Linked DNA regions of Drosophila melanogaster. Changing the gene in region 3 together with the main gene of any one other region gives a genetic interaction. Each region holds a gene or a part of one and is shown on either strand. Other genes may lie near its edges.

What was found.
Region 1: of beat-Ia (region 3) and unc-5, changing one enhances a phenotype caused by changing the other (phenotypic enhancement), as found in Drosophila melanogaster (one study listed by BioGRID).
Region 2: of beat-Ia (region 3) and side, changing one suppresses a phenotype caused by changing the other (phenotypic suppression), as found in Drosophila melanogaster (one study listed by BioGRID).

What each region holds. Positions count from the first base shown.
Region 1 is NT_033778.4:15,338,622-15,343,512, forward strand, and holds the start of unc-5 (unc-5), read left to right. Parts: upstream 1-1,850; 5' UTR 1,851-1,982; intron 1,983-4,891. Other genes in the region: Hr51 (hormone receptor 51), read left to right, coding at 65-226, 290-454, 517-699. UniProt on the Drosophila melanogaster protein: Receptor for netrin required for motor axon guidance. Mediates both short- and long-range axon motor repulsion in the developing nervous system upon ligand binding. Also involved in glial migration.
Region 2 is NT_033777.3:27,434,442-27,439,136, forward strand, and holds the start of side (sidestep), read right to left. Parts: upstream 3,042-4,695; 5' UTR 2,482-3,041; exon of another isoform or gene 1,749-2,481; intron 1-1,748. Other genes in the region: CG44290 (uncharacterized protein), read right to left, coding at 4,521-4,680.
Region 3 is NT_033779.5:16,048,395-16,053,007, reverse strand, and holds the start of beat-Ia (beaten path Ia), read right to left. Parts: upstream 3,044-4,613; 5' UTR 2,298-3,043; intron 1-2,297.

The DNA of each region.
Region 1 (4,891 bases), on a different chromosome or scaffold from region 3:
AAAACCGATCAATAGCAGCCAGGGTCATTTACTCAAAACATAACGAAATATCCCCTGTGTGCAGGTAATTTTGCTGGAGGAGTCCTGGTCGGAGCTGTTCCTGCTGAACGCAATCCAATGGTGCATTCCCCTGGATCCCACCGGCTGCGCCCTCTTCTCGGTGGCGGAGCACTGCAATAATCTAGAGAACAATGCCAATGGCGACACTTGCATAACAAAGGAGGAGGTAAGTCTACACAGGACTCCGTCTAATATGTATATTATATATATGACCACAAATTTCTGCTAGCTGGCGGCGGATGTGCGAACGCTCCACGAGATCTTCTGCAAATACAAGGCGGTGCTGGTGGACCCCGCTGAATTCGCGTGCCTCAAGGCGATAGTTCTCTTCCGGCCGGAAACGCGCGGACTTAAAGATCCGGCGCAGATAGAGAATCTTCAGGATCAGGCGCACGTAAATATACTGCACTTTTCAAAAGCAATAAAAGCTTCATTGAAATTTTACTTAACGAACAGGTGATGCTGTCGCAGCACACAAAGACGCAGTTCACCGCCCAGATAGCCAGATTCGGACGACTCCTTCTCATGCTGCCGTTGCTGCGCATGATCAGCTCCCACAAGATTGAGTCCATCTATTTTCAGCGCACTATTGGGAACACGCCCATGGAAAAGGTGCTCTGTGACATGTATAAGAACTAGTTAACTCGAGCTTTAAGTTACAACAAATTTAAATAAATATGTTTTTGTGTCTTGAATGTTAGATGGCGTGACTTTTGATTTTTCCAGTTTTTCACCACTAGTTGCATATAATTTCATATAAAAATGCTATAGAAAACAAAGTTAAAAAAAAAAAAAAATTTGATCGAAAATTATGTGTACTTTTTTTATCTGTACAAAGAACAAGACGCCATGAATTAACGTATGAATTTGAATTTTTTAATGAGTTAGCGCCAAAAGTTTTAGTGTTCAATAACATACACGGTGCTGTGTTGTAAAATGTATATTTCTATACAACCAAGCTGGTTTCGCTACCGTCCCATAGAAGCCGTTGTGAGCCTTTTAGAATCTTAACACCAGATGTCGCACAAAACTAAAGTTAATTTTCTTTCGATCTGGCAGCACGTTTATAGTTCCTATTTTTGCCGCTAGGCTGTGTAAAATAAAAGAGGCGTGTAGAAATGAGCATGAATGTAAGATGTAAAATTGTGTGTTTATTGGGCACACTGGAGACTTTTTGAAATTGGCGCCAATAATAAACTTTTGTTTAGCTAACAAGCCACCACAGAAAATGCATACAGAGGCTTTTAAGTGATTAGAATTGTGATTCTAAGCACAATTTCTTTAACAATTTCTGATACATTTACATCAATTACATTTGGAACATTTAATTAAACTCATATTTGGGTTAAATTAAATAGGAAAAGCTAGGTTATTTACGGATTACGTACAGCGAATCAAATTTTTCAAAATTAAAGTACGAGTTCAAAAGTGTTGCTAGTTACGAAGTGAAAAGATACGGGAACCGTATCTCTTCTTGTTGGCGAAAACCAAGGAGTAGATTGTTGATATTTAGGTATTAATAACAGAGGGCAGGACTTTTCTAGATGATTTTAATGCAGAGTCTAGTTTATCAGAATAGAATTGTAAGCAACTATTTCAATTTTTAATTCTGGTTCACATACAATTAAAAAAAACTTAGTAACTATAGGTGCATATATACAAGACTTCCTTTCTTATCTGCGCATGATGCCGCCAAAGGATTCAAAGCAGCTCCCGGAAAACCTTCAACCCTGATTGGAGCCCTTGGGGTCAGCTGGTCACACTGGGCAACGGGAGTAATCTGCGGGAGCACAGGCTCCAATTTTGATGCCAAAGGAATGTGCTCGGCGAAAAACAAAAAGGCAAACAAGAATCGCACATTCGTCGGGAAAACTGCAGTCAATGTCTGGGCCATAAAATGTGCAATTAAGCCGCAATAGATGGTAAAGTTCAAGTGAAATAAAGAAGGAATTACATGGAAAAAACGGCCATCAAAGCCAACAAAAATCTTCTGGCTTAAATAGCATGTGTGTGTGTGTGTTTGTGTGAGTGCGTAGTGAAATTAGTGGTGCTGTGGGTGTGCGCGAGTTACCACCCCACCCCCTAAACCCCCACGCCTCTAAACAAATCATCGGACACTCAACCGGGAAGACGGCAACTGGAACACCGCATCCGGCCGAATGCTGACATTCCGGCCGAATGCTGACATTACACAAAAGTCGCACTGCAACATTGTCCCCAGCTAGCCAGCCACATGCCGAGTCGGCATGTTCATTATGCTTACAATTAAGAACCTATGTACTTATGTATAAGACGAAAACGGAGGACTCGAGTAGCCACTCTCTGACAATAAACTTCATACTGATTTTGAACTTCAAGAAAGTCAGTCGTATTCTTTATTGGAAATCTTCACACTACAACTATCTGCTGAAACTTAAAAACCTTCATACATTTACACATCATATCTTCACAAAAGGCTCCACCCTCGATCACGGACTTAACTGGCGCAGCCGGTAGGATGTCCTACCTATTAATAATTACCTACCTGTAAGTAAACATGTAAGAAACGAAACAAACTATATGCAAGATGTCGACTGAAAGTGACTAGGAACAAATTTTTATAAAACAAAATTGAAGTTGTGAAGTACCAAATGAAACTCAAACATATATTCAAACACAGGAAAAAAAAAGAGAGAGGAAAAATGTAAAATAAATAAATATACAAAAAAAAAGTGCAAGTGTACCGTACTGCCGCGCTGACGTGGAATCTATCGCTGATCATCACGCCATCGGTATGTCCATACTCTGCCGAACGTCATAATTTTTTTTAAAAAGTGCAAGTGTACCGTACTGCCGCACTGACGTGGAATCTATCGCTGATCATCACGCCATCGGTATGTCCATACTCTGCCGAACGTCATAATTTTTATAAAAAAGTGCAAGTGTACCGTACTGCCGCGCTGACGTGGAATCTATCGCTGATCATCACGCCATCGGTATGTCCATACTCTGCCAAACGTCATAATTTTTATAAAAAAGTGCAAGTGTACCGTACTGCCGCGCTGACGTGGAATCTATCGCTGATCATCACGCCATCGGTATGTCCATACTCTGCCAAACGTCATAATTTTTATAAAAAAAGTGCAAGTGTACCGTACTGCTGCGCTGACGTGGAATCTATCGCTGATCACCACGCCATCGGTATGTCCATACTCTGCCAAACGTCATAAGTTTTTATAAAAAAAAAAGAGTGCAAGTGTACCGTACTGCCGCGCTGACGTGGAATCTATCGCTGATCATCACGTCATCGGCACTTACATACGCTGGCCAACGCATCGCCAAAGCCTCTATATACACTTATATATGTGAGCATACAATATCAACTACAATCCAATACATCCACGTACTGTACCGCCTCGTTGGCATGGAATCAAACGCTGATCACCATGCCACCGTGGTAAACAAACAAAGCACCAAAGCCTCTCTAATACATTGTACACTCAAAACGCACACTGCCATACGTCGGCGAAAAATCAAAACATAAGCAAAAATCATTTCAAACCAAGCGAGGCTCATTCTGCGTACCACAACGACAACGACACTGCATGTGTAGTGGCGCACCCATGTCTGGGTAGCCGAGGTAAGGGGAAAACGCTTGAGTATCGTCAAGTGTTCTTGCCTTTCACTCTTCTACAATGGGTTGCTACGCTCATGTATTGCACATTCAAAATAACCAAAACAAATGTACTAAAGAAGTCGACATATACAGATATATTTTGTTTCCTTTCATTGTGTAATTTTGTATATCAAACAAATACTAATACCAATCACATTGCAGAATATAAAAGGGAAAATATAAAGCCAAAGACAGACACCCATACACTCTAGTAAACAAGAAATTTGTTCATTATTTTTCAATCATACATAATATACTAAGTAACCTCAAATTTAATGTCAAAAAAGTTCGTTTACAACCTTAGGAAAACTACACGTTCAGTTGTTGGAGTTCCACCAAACACTAATAGGCCCCCACATCCCGTTAGACGTCCTGACTCCCTTCTCCCGATTTCGGAAGAACCCAAATCAATATCTTCCCAAACCCCCAATATGGACTCGGGAAACGATTCTGCCCGCCCCACTCCATCCCCTCTGGCGCCCACTGTCAGTGGTATTAGCTCCTTAATTTCAACTACGTTCAAGCCTAAAGATATCATGGCATTTGTTGAGCATTTGCCAACCTTTGATGGTACACCTCGTCTATTGGACAGGTTTATCACTAGCGTAGAAGAAATCCTGATGCTCATCAGGGGAGCTGACCAAACACCGTATGGCCTGCTTACTCTGAGGACCATCAGGAACAAAATCATTGATAGGGCCGACGAAGCCTTGGAACTGGCAAATACCCCCTTGGTTTGGGATGAGATTAAAAGCAATCTCATCCGCCTCTACTCGAGCAAGAAAAGCGAGGCCAACTTGTTAAGCGAGCTTAACACATTTTCGGACAACCTGACCTTGGGCCAACTGTTCTTTGGTATATCAAAGGTGAGAAGCCAACTCTTCTCCATACTCAAAAACAGCGAACACAACAACACTGTTGTAGATGCAAAAAAGGTTGTCTACAACGAGGTTTGTCTCAATGCTTTTATGACTGGTTTGAAGGAACCTCTCAAGACTTTCGTCAGGATAAAGTCCCCTTCTACACTTGAACAGGCGTACGAGCAATGCCAAATAGAGCAGACCTTATATAGGGCACAAAACAAGCGAACCAACAGACCAGAGCAGGGACCCAATGGATCAGACAATAAAACCTACCGAAATAGCTACGACAGCAATTACCGCAGCGGACGTAACG
Region 2 (4,695 bases), on a different chromosome or scaffold from region 3:
CCGACTCGCACAACCAGCCACCCACCACTCGCTCAATTTTCCCACTCAGCTTAGCCGCCCACGTTGCACTCTACGTGCTCCAGCTTTTTAATTGCACGGCTTAGCCGAGGCGCGTTGGCATTTTGTAAATTTCGTTAATTGGAAAATGTGCCAGGATTCATTTTCATCTATTTCCCAAATGCCCCGAACGCCATGCGTCGTGATCCCGAGCGGTGTCAGCTGGCGAACTCGGCTCAAACTGGATTTATTTTATTGCGGGCTAAATGGAATTTCCAAAATGGTTATCGCCAAAAGCGTTGCCATTCGCTTATCCTGCATGCAGGAGTCTCTTCATTATGCACAAGTCGCTCGCTGAATGTTTTCTACTTTCGGTTGCCATCCTGATTGTATTTATCCATAATATTTATCCATTTTGACGAAGCCCTCGAGGTGTGAAGCAATTGTTCGGGCTGCAGGATTTATTATGCATAAAATTGCAGCATAAAGTCAAATAAAATATGTATTGAAAGTTTTATTGTTTGGCAGCCGTTCTGCAGCAGCGATGCCAACGCTTTTCCCACTCCCACCATTTCCCTTTTCCCGCTCACATATTTGCACATAGTACACATTTCATGCGGAACTGACGCTTGTGTGACGCTAGCAGCATTTTGTTTAAAATTGAATTCCTTCAATGCATTTACCTAAATTTAATTCCTTCTCATGCTGCTGCCCCAAAACTTTCTGTTCGCAATTTTTGCCACGCTCCGCTTCGCTTGGTTTTGTTTCGCTTTGTTCGTATTTTCAACTTTGTGTGGGTGATTTTGAGTTCGCTTTATACCATATATGTACATACATATGTATATGCTCTGGGCTTCTATTTGCTTTAATGAAGCCGAACTCTCTGGACAGGCTAGCATATACATATATGGCATATGGCGTATATACGTGCCGACACTGGCTCAGGATCAGGATCGGGATCCTGGTAGGAGGGCTGTTGGCTTTGCAAATATCCTGCGGCTGTAGCGTTTATATGAGAGCTTATTATTCCCTCTTATATTTTGCCACTGGTTGGAAACGGAGCTGCGCAGTGGATTTTGTGATTTGCTTTTTATGTGTGCCACCATATGGGGCAGTAGCCAGGAATCCAAGAATGGGGCCACGCACATGGAAAACTCCCATGTTGGATGCAAGGCGGCAAGAGGCGCTTAGCGAAATTCATGCAAGGATTTCACTGGATTGTTGCCAAGGTTGCTCAGCTCGCAAAAAATATGCCGCTAAAAAAATGACGAGTGGAGTGAGTGGGGAGCAGGAAGTAGATTTAACGTTTTTAGTAATGGATTTATCAAGAAACCGTAGTTGAAATCTGATTCGGTACTGTCAGGAAAGAGCGAAGTGAATTCAACAAGCCAAATTTAATTGGGTAATAATAAAGAACTGGCTAAATATATGTTATAGTCTAAAAATATAATTCACAAGCAGCAAGAAAAATTCTACCAAACTAATGACTTTCTTGGCCTAATTTGTTTTCCTTTCCTATAGCAACGACATAAATCTCAGCTCTCAAGTGACCATCACAACAGCATTCCACTCAAAGATGAAAATTTGAAAGGCAAACAAATCTGTCCCATAAGCAAACCCCGGCTGTCTGTGGATCCTGGCTAGCTGGCTGGGATCTGGATGGGATGGGATGCAATGGAATGGCATTGCGAATTGAAGGCGCAGCTTCCGGAGCACGGACTTATGGCTACAAATCAGAAGGACCAACTTACCCCCGGCTGCTCTTTGGCTTTCCCTGGCTAGCTAATCCAAAGGACAGAGGAACTTTCAAGGCCTTCCAACTGGCAAGTTTAATTTATGTTTTTGCTTGGCCAACAGATAGAGAGCAAAACTTTTGCTGCTCGCAGCTATTGTTCCAATGCACTGACCCGTATTTGCAAAGATGTCTGCATAAGCAATTTGTATCTTGTATCTACTATCTTTGTATCTTGCGGATGCTCCGATGCACTTTCACTTTGCCCCGCCAGACGATGGCAATTGTGATAAATTATATGCCACGCGACCGATCGGATTGGATCGTTTCATATCAGATGGGAATCATAATCAAAACCGAAGGGGGCAGGCTGTACGGCCGACGAACTGTTGCGCCCACTCTCACACACACACACACTGATATACTCATATATATACTGACCACTACAAATGAAACCGCAGTGTGTTATTGTGTCATTAATTTGTGCGCTCTCTTTGTGTGGGAATACTCCTTTTTATTGCTGCTTTTTTTGGCGCTTAAAGTGCGAAAACTGACTGGAATTAATTGATGATCCGCACGCAGCTGGAGTGCGGTATTGGTATTGTTGGTTGATTGGGAAATGGAAAATCGAAAATGGGAAATCGTTAATGAGGCAGAGTGACGCGTTCACATTTCCATATGATTTAATGATTTACTTCGGGGGTCCTTCTATCTGCTCTACTACGCACTTTTACGAATTTTCCGCAACTCACTTTTCAGTCTTGCTGTTTGTTTGCCCGCACTTGGAGTTTCATTTTCATTCGCATTTTCCGCTTTCGGCTGTTATTGCTGCTCGTAATCCGCTTTTGCCCTAAATTTCGATTTCCTTTCGCTTTTTTTTTTGCACTGCAGTTATTTCGAACTTCGCTTTTTCCAGTTCTCTTCAAGTGTTTTGATAACTTGAGTGTATTATTATTTTTCCGGCACGTTGTGTTAATTCGTTTCTTCTTTTTTTTTCGTTGTTGTCGTTGTTGTTTCTGGTGGGCGGTAGGGGCGCGGCACACGAAACGTAAACGATGCGCAGCACTTACGGCGCTCGAGAGTCACGCACAAATGGTCCGCCGCCGCCTCCTATTCCTCTAATTAGCCACATAAATTGCAAGTTGGCCAGGGCCAAAAGAATTCAAAACACACTGTCTAGAGAATCGCAATCCCTGCTGAGTAGTGGTGGCAATAGTGGCAAGCGCCAGCAATGGCACAGATATATGTAGCCAAACACGCTATCGATATATAGAGCAGCACCCGCACGACGAACCAAACGCTGTGAGCCACGGATAAGAACTAAACAACATTCGCAGCTGCCGCTGCTCGGCTGCTGCTGCTGCTGCTGCTGCATGTTGTTGCTGCCGCTCGTTGCTGCTCGCTGCTGCTGCTACGGGGTAGCAACACATGCCGCATATCATTCACGATTTTTCACTTCGGACGGCGACGAGCTTCGGATCACGAGTCCTGCCGCGCTCTCTCGTGCCGCATGTTGCTCGTGCGAGTCCTCGTGCAACATGCGGCCAGGACGTGACCTTTGGCAACTGGTCGAGTGTTGTTTTGGCTCTCGGGCGCGCTTGCAGCCAATTAATGGGCCACTCGCCATGTGATTTATTGGCACCGCTCATAAGTCCCCCCCCCTCTTTGCCCAGACAGGATAAACAAAAAACACATGCATAATTTCCATAAATCTTTTATGGCTGCGTGTAAAAACTTTCGGCTGGGCCAATTATGCGGACCGAACTAGGCACTAATTTGACAGCAAAGTGCCCAAAAGGCTTTATCCCTCCTTGGGGGTCAGCCTAGGTCAACTCTGGCCACCCTCCACTCCGCCGTCGTTCGAATCGTGTCCATAACTTACCACATAATTGAGTTATCCCCCGGTTAGGGGCATGAACAAGCTTTTGTTGTCGTCCTGGCGAAGGATTATCAATGGCCTTTGAGCATTTACTATCGCCCGGTGGTTTTGCTGCTTGAATTGCTCAATTTTGTTCGGGCTTTGATCTGTCGTAAGCTGTGGGTAATGATGCACTTAGCCATTATTGGTTAATTTTAATTGGGCGTGTGACACGCTTTAGACGCTTAAGAAATGTATGCATGCATGGCATCCTGTTTCAATTCTAGGAGTTGTAAAATCGATTAAATGAATTAATATAAATAATAAATTAAATAAATAAATTCTTAAGTACTCTGGTATGCAAATAAGCAAATCAATATATTTACTTAGGGTTAATAATACGTTGATTGAAAATAAGAACAATTACAGCTTTCCATGGTAAAATGAACTTATTTCCCCTTTTAACTCAATTGCCCTTAGGCACATGCAACATGTTGCTACAACACATAGGAATGTTTCAGAACAATTCCATTATTCCGCTCTCTCGCAGCATTGTTGCGTTCGTTAAGTGTTGAGGGACAATGATGAAAGCAACATTTGCTAAGGAAACACGAATATGTTTTCAAATTGCCACATAAAGAAGAAAAGTTTATTGAATATAATTGGTTCATATTTTTAGAAGTTAAATTTCAAATTCAATTAATATACATCCTTTCTCTTGTTATGTTCTTGCTTTCTTTTTTAATTATAAATGAAACTGAAAACTATAATAAAATAAATTCAACTAGCTTATTTTAAATACAACTTTTTTCCAAAACTTGTGAACTCAGTGAACTCAGCTTCCGGCTGGCCATAAAAATATTCGCCACTGTTGGGAAATGGGAACAGATTGTCGCATGGTAATGCAGTTGCACCTGCCAAGCTGTTGCACCTCTAAGCCACCAAGCCACCCAGGGCACTTCGATGGCAGCTCGGCCTCCACTTTTCCCGGGGCATTAGCCTTTTATGCAGCAACGTTGATGTTGCAGCTTCAGCTGCTCGCCCGCGGCAACCTTCACACCTATGCACATGACGCACTCGTATTGTATGGCCACTGCAGAAGCAGAAA
Region 3 (4,613 bases):
ATATTAAATGCAAGGCAGAAACCAAGACTAATTCAGTTATGCCAATACTAATTGAATAAATCCTTGGCCATTTAACCAGCTTTTGTAGATCAAAGCTCAAGTGGGATAACGAAGCCATAAATTTGCGAGCAAATTCCTTTAGGATTAGCACAACTCATTGGTTGAGTATACACGCACATAATCAGCTTAAACAAATAAGTGAAAACTAATAAGAAAACAGAATTTCGGGGCACTTGCCGAAAAACTAATTAACACCCACGCCTAGTTAGGTTCCTCTTTTTCGCATTTTCGCCCGAATTTCGGAGTGCCTCCGCTCAGCGTTCTTTTTCATAAGCCACAGCACTTGCAGCGCCACCAAATAGTTAAAAAAGAACGAAAATAAAAGATCCAGGCTATAAGAGAAATACCTGGTCGAGAGAAGAATGCGACACCGTTGCAGGTGGCAGTAAAAAATGGCTGAAATTTCTCCAGCTCAACAGCGAACTGGCGAAAGGAGCCGCCGGTCATCCGAGGCTCAGATCAGGACACAGCTCATTAAACGCCGGCCACAGTTTACCTCTCTCGACGGATATTACACGGCCAAAATATAATACGAAGAGCTGTCACACCATTTATCAATGCCAATATTATGCTGTCCGTTTTATTTGAATAAAATCTATGACAATATTCAAAATTTGAACTAAGCGCCAGGAAGTTCGGTGAACACATTGTGCTATTTCAAAGGATTTGATTTTGGTTGGAATTCATAATCTCTGGGTTAGCCAAATTTTTAAGCTTATGCATGTAAAATAATACGAATCCAAAAGGGAGCTCATTATACTGTAACTTTGGTAATGGGTGACAAACTAGATGAAAATAAGCTAGTAAAATAATTCGGAAAATTTTTATATTTCCCTTTAATAATGACTTATGACAAAAGTTTCGTAGATTTCTGGAAAAGTATGACATAAAGTTTATACGCCTTTTATATTCCTTCTCATTAAATAAGCACTTTACTTTTAGGAGAGTTAGTCAAAATGTGTAATAACTCCTTTTAACAGATTTATTTATTTTTAACTCAAAAATCCTGCCGGAGTTTATTTTTTTACAGTGTGCATCTGTTTGCTTGGTCCTATTGTTATTTTTAAGCCGGTCGCAGGATAATCCGAAAAGGCTGGCGACGACTTAATGTGCCCCTTGGCTGTGCTAAATAGCTTTCATTATTTACTTTATTCTCCCATAAAGCGTGCGAAAAAGTTTGGTCCGAGCCATTTTTACAGAGCTGTGGAAATTCCACTGCAAAAACAGAGCAGGATATGGAAAACTGCAGAGATAGACTGGGAAATAAATGTTCCTGCTCGGCTGGTTAAAGGTTTTCTCGTTTTGTTTCGGAACTTTTCCGACTCAGCTGTTTGTGGACACTTGCCAGCACTTTTCTTCGTCCTTCGCCTTCGCCTTTTCCTCTTCCTCCTCCTCCTCCTCCTCCTCCTCCGGCGGCAATAAATCATTTCACATATCAATCAGTCAATCAAATAAATGTTTGACTGCCGCCCAACTGACTGCCCCTCCCTCATCCGATATTGATTGTCCCACTAAATACAATTTTTGCCTAGTCAGTGGGTTGCTCGAAAGTGAGGATGAAAACTCTGCCAGGCAGTTGACATTTTCCATCAACAAAAAATGGGCAAATCGAAGCAGCTAGGACTGAGCTCAAGACATTGTTGCCTAGTTCCCCAGCAACTATGGGAAATGTTTACCAAAAAAGGATGAGCCCGAGGTCCCGGAGACACGCTCCCTGGCAATTGACAAGTTTTGTTTGCCTGTTGGATGAGACGGGCACGCCCTTCTGTACATCTTCCGGCTTATCTTCCGCTGGCTGGGATGTGAAAGGAAACCCCCGGAATCCTCAAATTGCCTTGCCAGGAGCAGGGACATGGTGCATCAAAATTAAACGTCGCAGATTGCGATATATGAAATTACAGAAGCGCAGAGGATGCTTCAAAGTTCGTGAAAGGTTGATGCTTTCGCTGAACTGGCTTATGAGCTGTTACTCAAACGTTATTTGCATTCCCTTGCAAATAATATTCTCAATTATAAACTTTATCAACTATTTTTCTACAACTCTGTTGTGAAGCAAAATTAAAATATTAGTTTTTCAAATTTCAAATGTTAAAAAACTGTTTTTCTTTTAAATAACATACGCTCTTGTGCGTTTCTAGTATACGAGTCTAAATATTCGTAATCATATCCCAATACCCTTCCTGACATCATATCCCAAAGCATCAATTTGTGTCAAAGAGATTATAATGTATTCCTACCTTCAGGTTATTTGGGTAAATTTTCTCTCTTATTATTTTCTTGTACTTTCAATGCAACTGGCTAGTCATATTTCACATGTGAGTATAAGGTTTTGTTTTTTTTGCTTTTTGGTTCTCTCGCTGCGCACAATTTGGCAAACAATTTTATTTTATGCAATTTTCGGTTGATTTATCAGAGAATCCTTTAAGGCGCACCGAGCAAGTATCCTGTCCTGGCGAATGGGGATTTGGTTGTTGGCTTTGGCTGCGTGGCTTCTTGTTGCTCCTTTTTGTGCCCGCCTAAGCCGTTCACTCCTCCCGATTCTGCTGCTTCCTCGTTCCTTATCTCATTTCGCGTATCACGGAGCTCGTTAAAATCACCTTAGAACACGTGACTGCACAAACACACTCGCACTCACACACACACATGCACTGGTGGCGACGAAGCAACAGCCTTACCCACACACACACAGTTTGGGACTATCGCAGATCCTTCGTCGGATCCTTTTCCCTATTTTCCGCCTTCTGTTTTGGTAAATGCTATGTCAGAAACACAAAAACTGCATCTCGCACACACGCACGCCACAGCAAAAATTGGGTTCAGTCCTGCGGTTTCAGTGCAGTTCAACCATTTTTTTTTAAACAATTTTTTCTGTTATTTCCGATGCTCGTAATACTGCGAAAATTGAAATGATGATCTACGCACGTCCTTACGCACGGACAACGCAATGTAAACTGCAGCAGGAGTCGAAGGATTCGCGACACTGCGAGTCCTGTGCACAGATTTCCCAATTGGCGAATGGCCAACGAAGATGGTTCGGAGAATCCGACGTCCTTCATCGGAAAATCACGAATGGAAAAGCGAGGAGAGAGAGAGAGAGAGCACCCGTGTGGTGGGTTTCTTATCCATAAATGCTTCTATTGCTAACTCTGCTTGGTTCCCCTTCCACTGCTTGATTTCCCCTTCCCACTGCTTTGCCTAAGAGAACTGCTTCGTTTTGACTGCTTGATTGTACTCACCACGACTGCCACTTTAAACGGCAACTTACTGTGTACAATATAAAAAAACCAATTGTAACATTATTTTTAAATTTAATAAATTTTTAAATTTTAAATTTACTTTAAATTTTTTAAATACATGTTAGAGTTTAATTACAAGACTTCGGAAGGTAAGTATGCTTAAATAAGCATATATTTTAGAAATACTTCTTCCTGTCTGAGTGTACGGAAAAAGTATATGGAAAGTAAATTTAACGTGGTTAATTCAATTTTCAACTTCTTTCGAAAGAAATTTATAAAAATATATATATTTTCCTACTGTTTTTGAAAGGCCGAGGAAACACATACTCAAATTATACTTATGGCCACTTAACTATGTCCTCCCATTACACAACACTTCCTCTACTTAAAATGGGACCAGCATTGACGAATGGAGGCCGAAACTGGCGACTCTCGGGCTGGTCAGTGACTCCACTTGGGATCCAAATTCAAATCCAGCATAATTGTAAATCAAGCCGCTTGCCAAAATGTCCCGCAAAAGCCCACTCGAAGTACTTAAGTGGAGCATAGCCCCATGTAGATGACCACCAGACTGGGACTGAGATGGCTGCAGAAATTAGTTGCCATTGGCAAAGGCACTTTGCGCCCAAAGTGTCATAATCATAAAAATTTGCAATTATGCTGATGCAACACGGTAGCAACCACCGGCAACTGGAGCAAAACATTTCCAGTTCATTAGCTCAGCCACGCCCCTTTTGCCGCCCGTTTAGTTCGTGTAAGGACACACATTCGATTTTGTTGCTTTGCAAGACTTCTTGGCACGAGGCGAGGCAATACAAATTATGCAGACAACTGGAGACAATAAAGTCATTAACCTCTATTCCAACCAGGCTAAAAGAGTTCAAAGCGGCAACGACTTAATGTACATATATTACAAATGTTTCTACAAAATTAAGCAAATCATATTAATCTAATAATCTACTAAAAAATATATTTAGTTGATTTTTCATAGACATCAATTTATTCATATCAAATGTTTGTGCGTGACTATTTTGCTTATCACTTAATACATGCTGTGCTTTTGTTTTTAATTTTTTTTTCTTTTTCAGTTAGTTTACATAAATTCATTTCTTACAACAAGTGATTTCGTTTAGTTAGATTTCATAAATAATTCACAATATTTTTTTTTTTTGCTTAAGACGGTTTCCTATATAAATAATTTCAAAATAAATTAATCGCTTAAAATAAAGGCAACTACGACCTATTGGCACACTGGGAAAACTGTGCACTTTCCCGAGCGCAGCTATGCTACTTGGAATTTGAGTACAAATGCGAGTA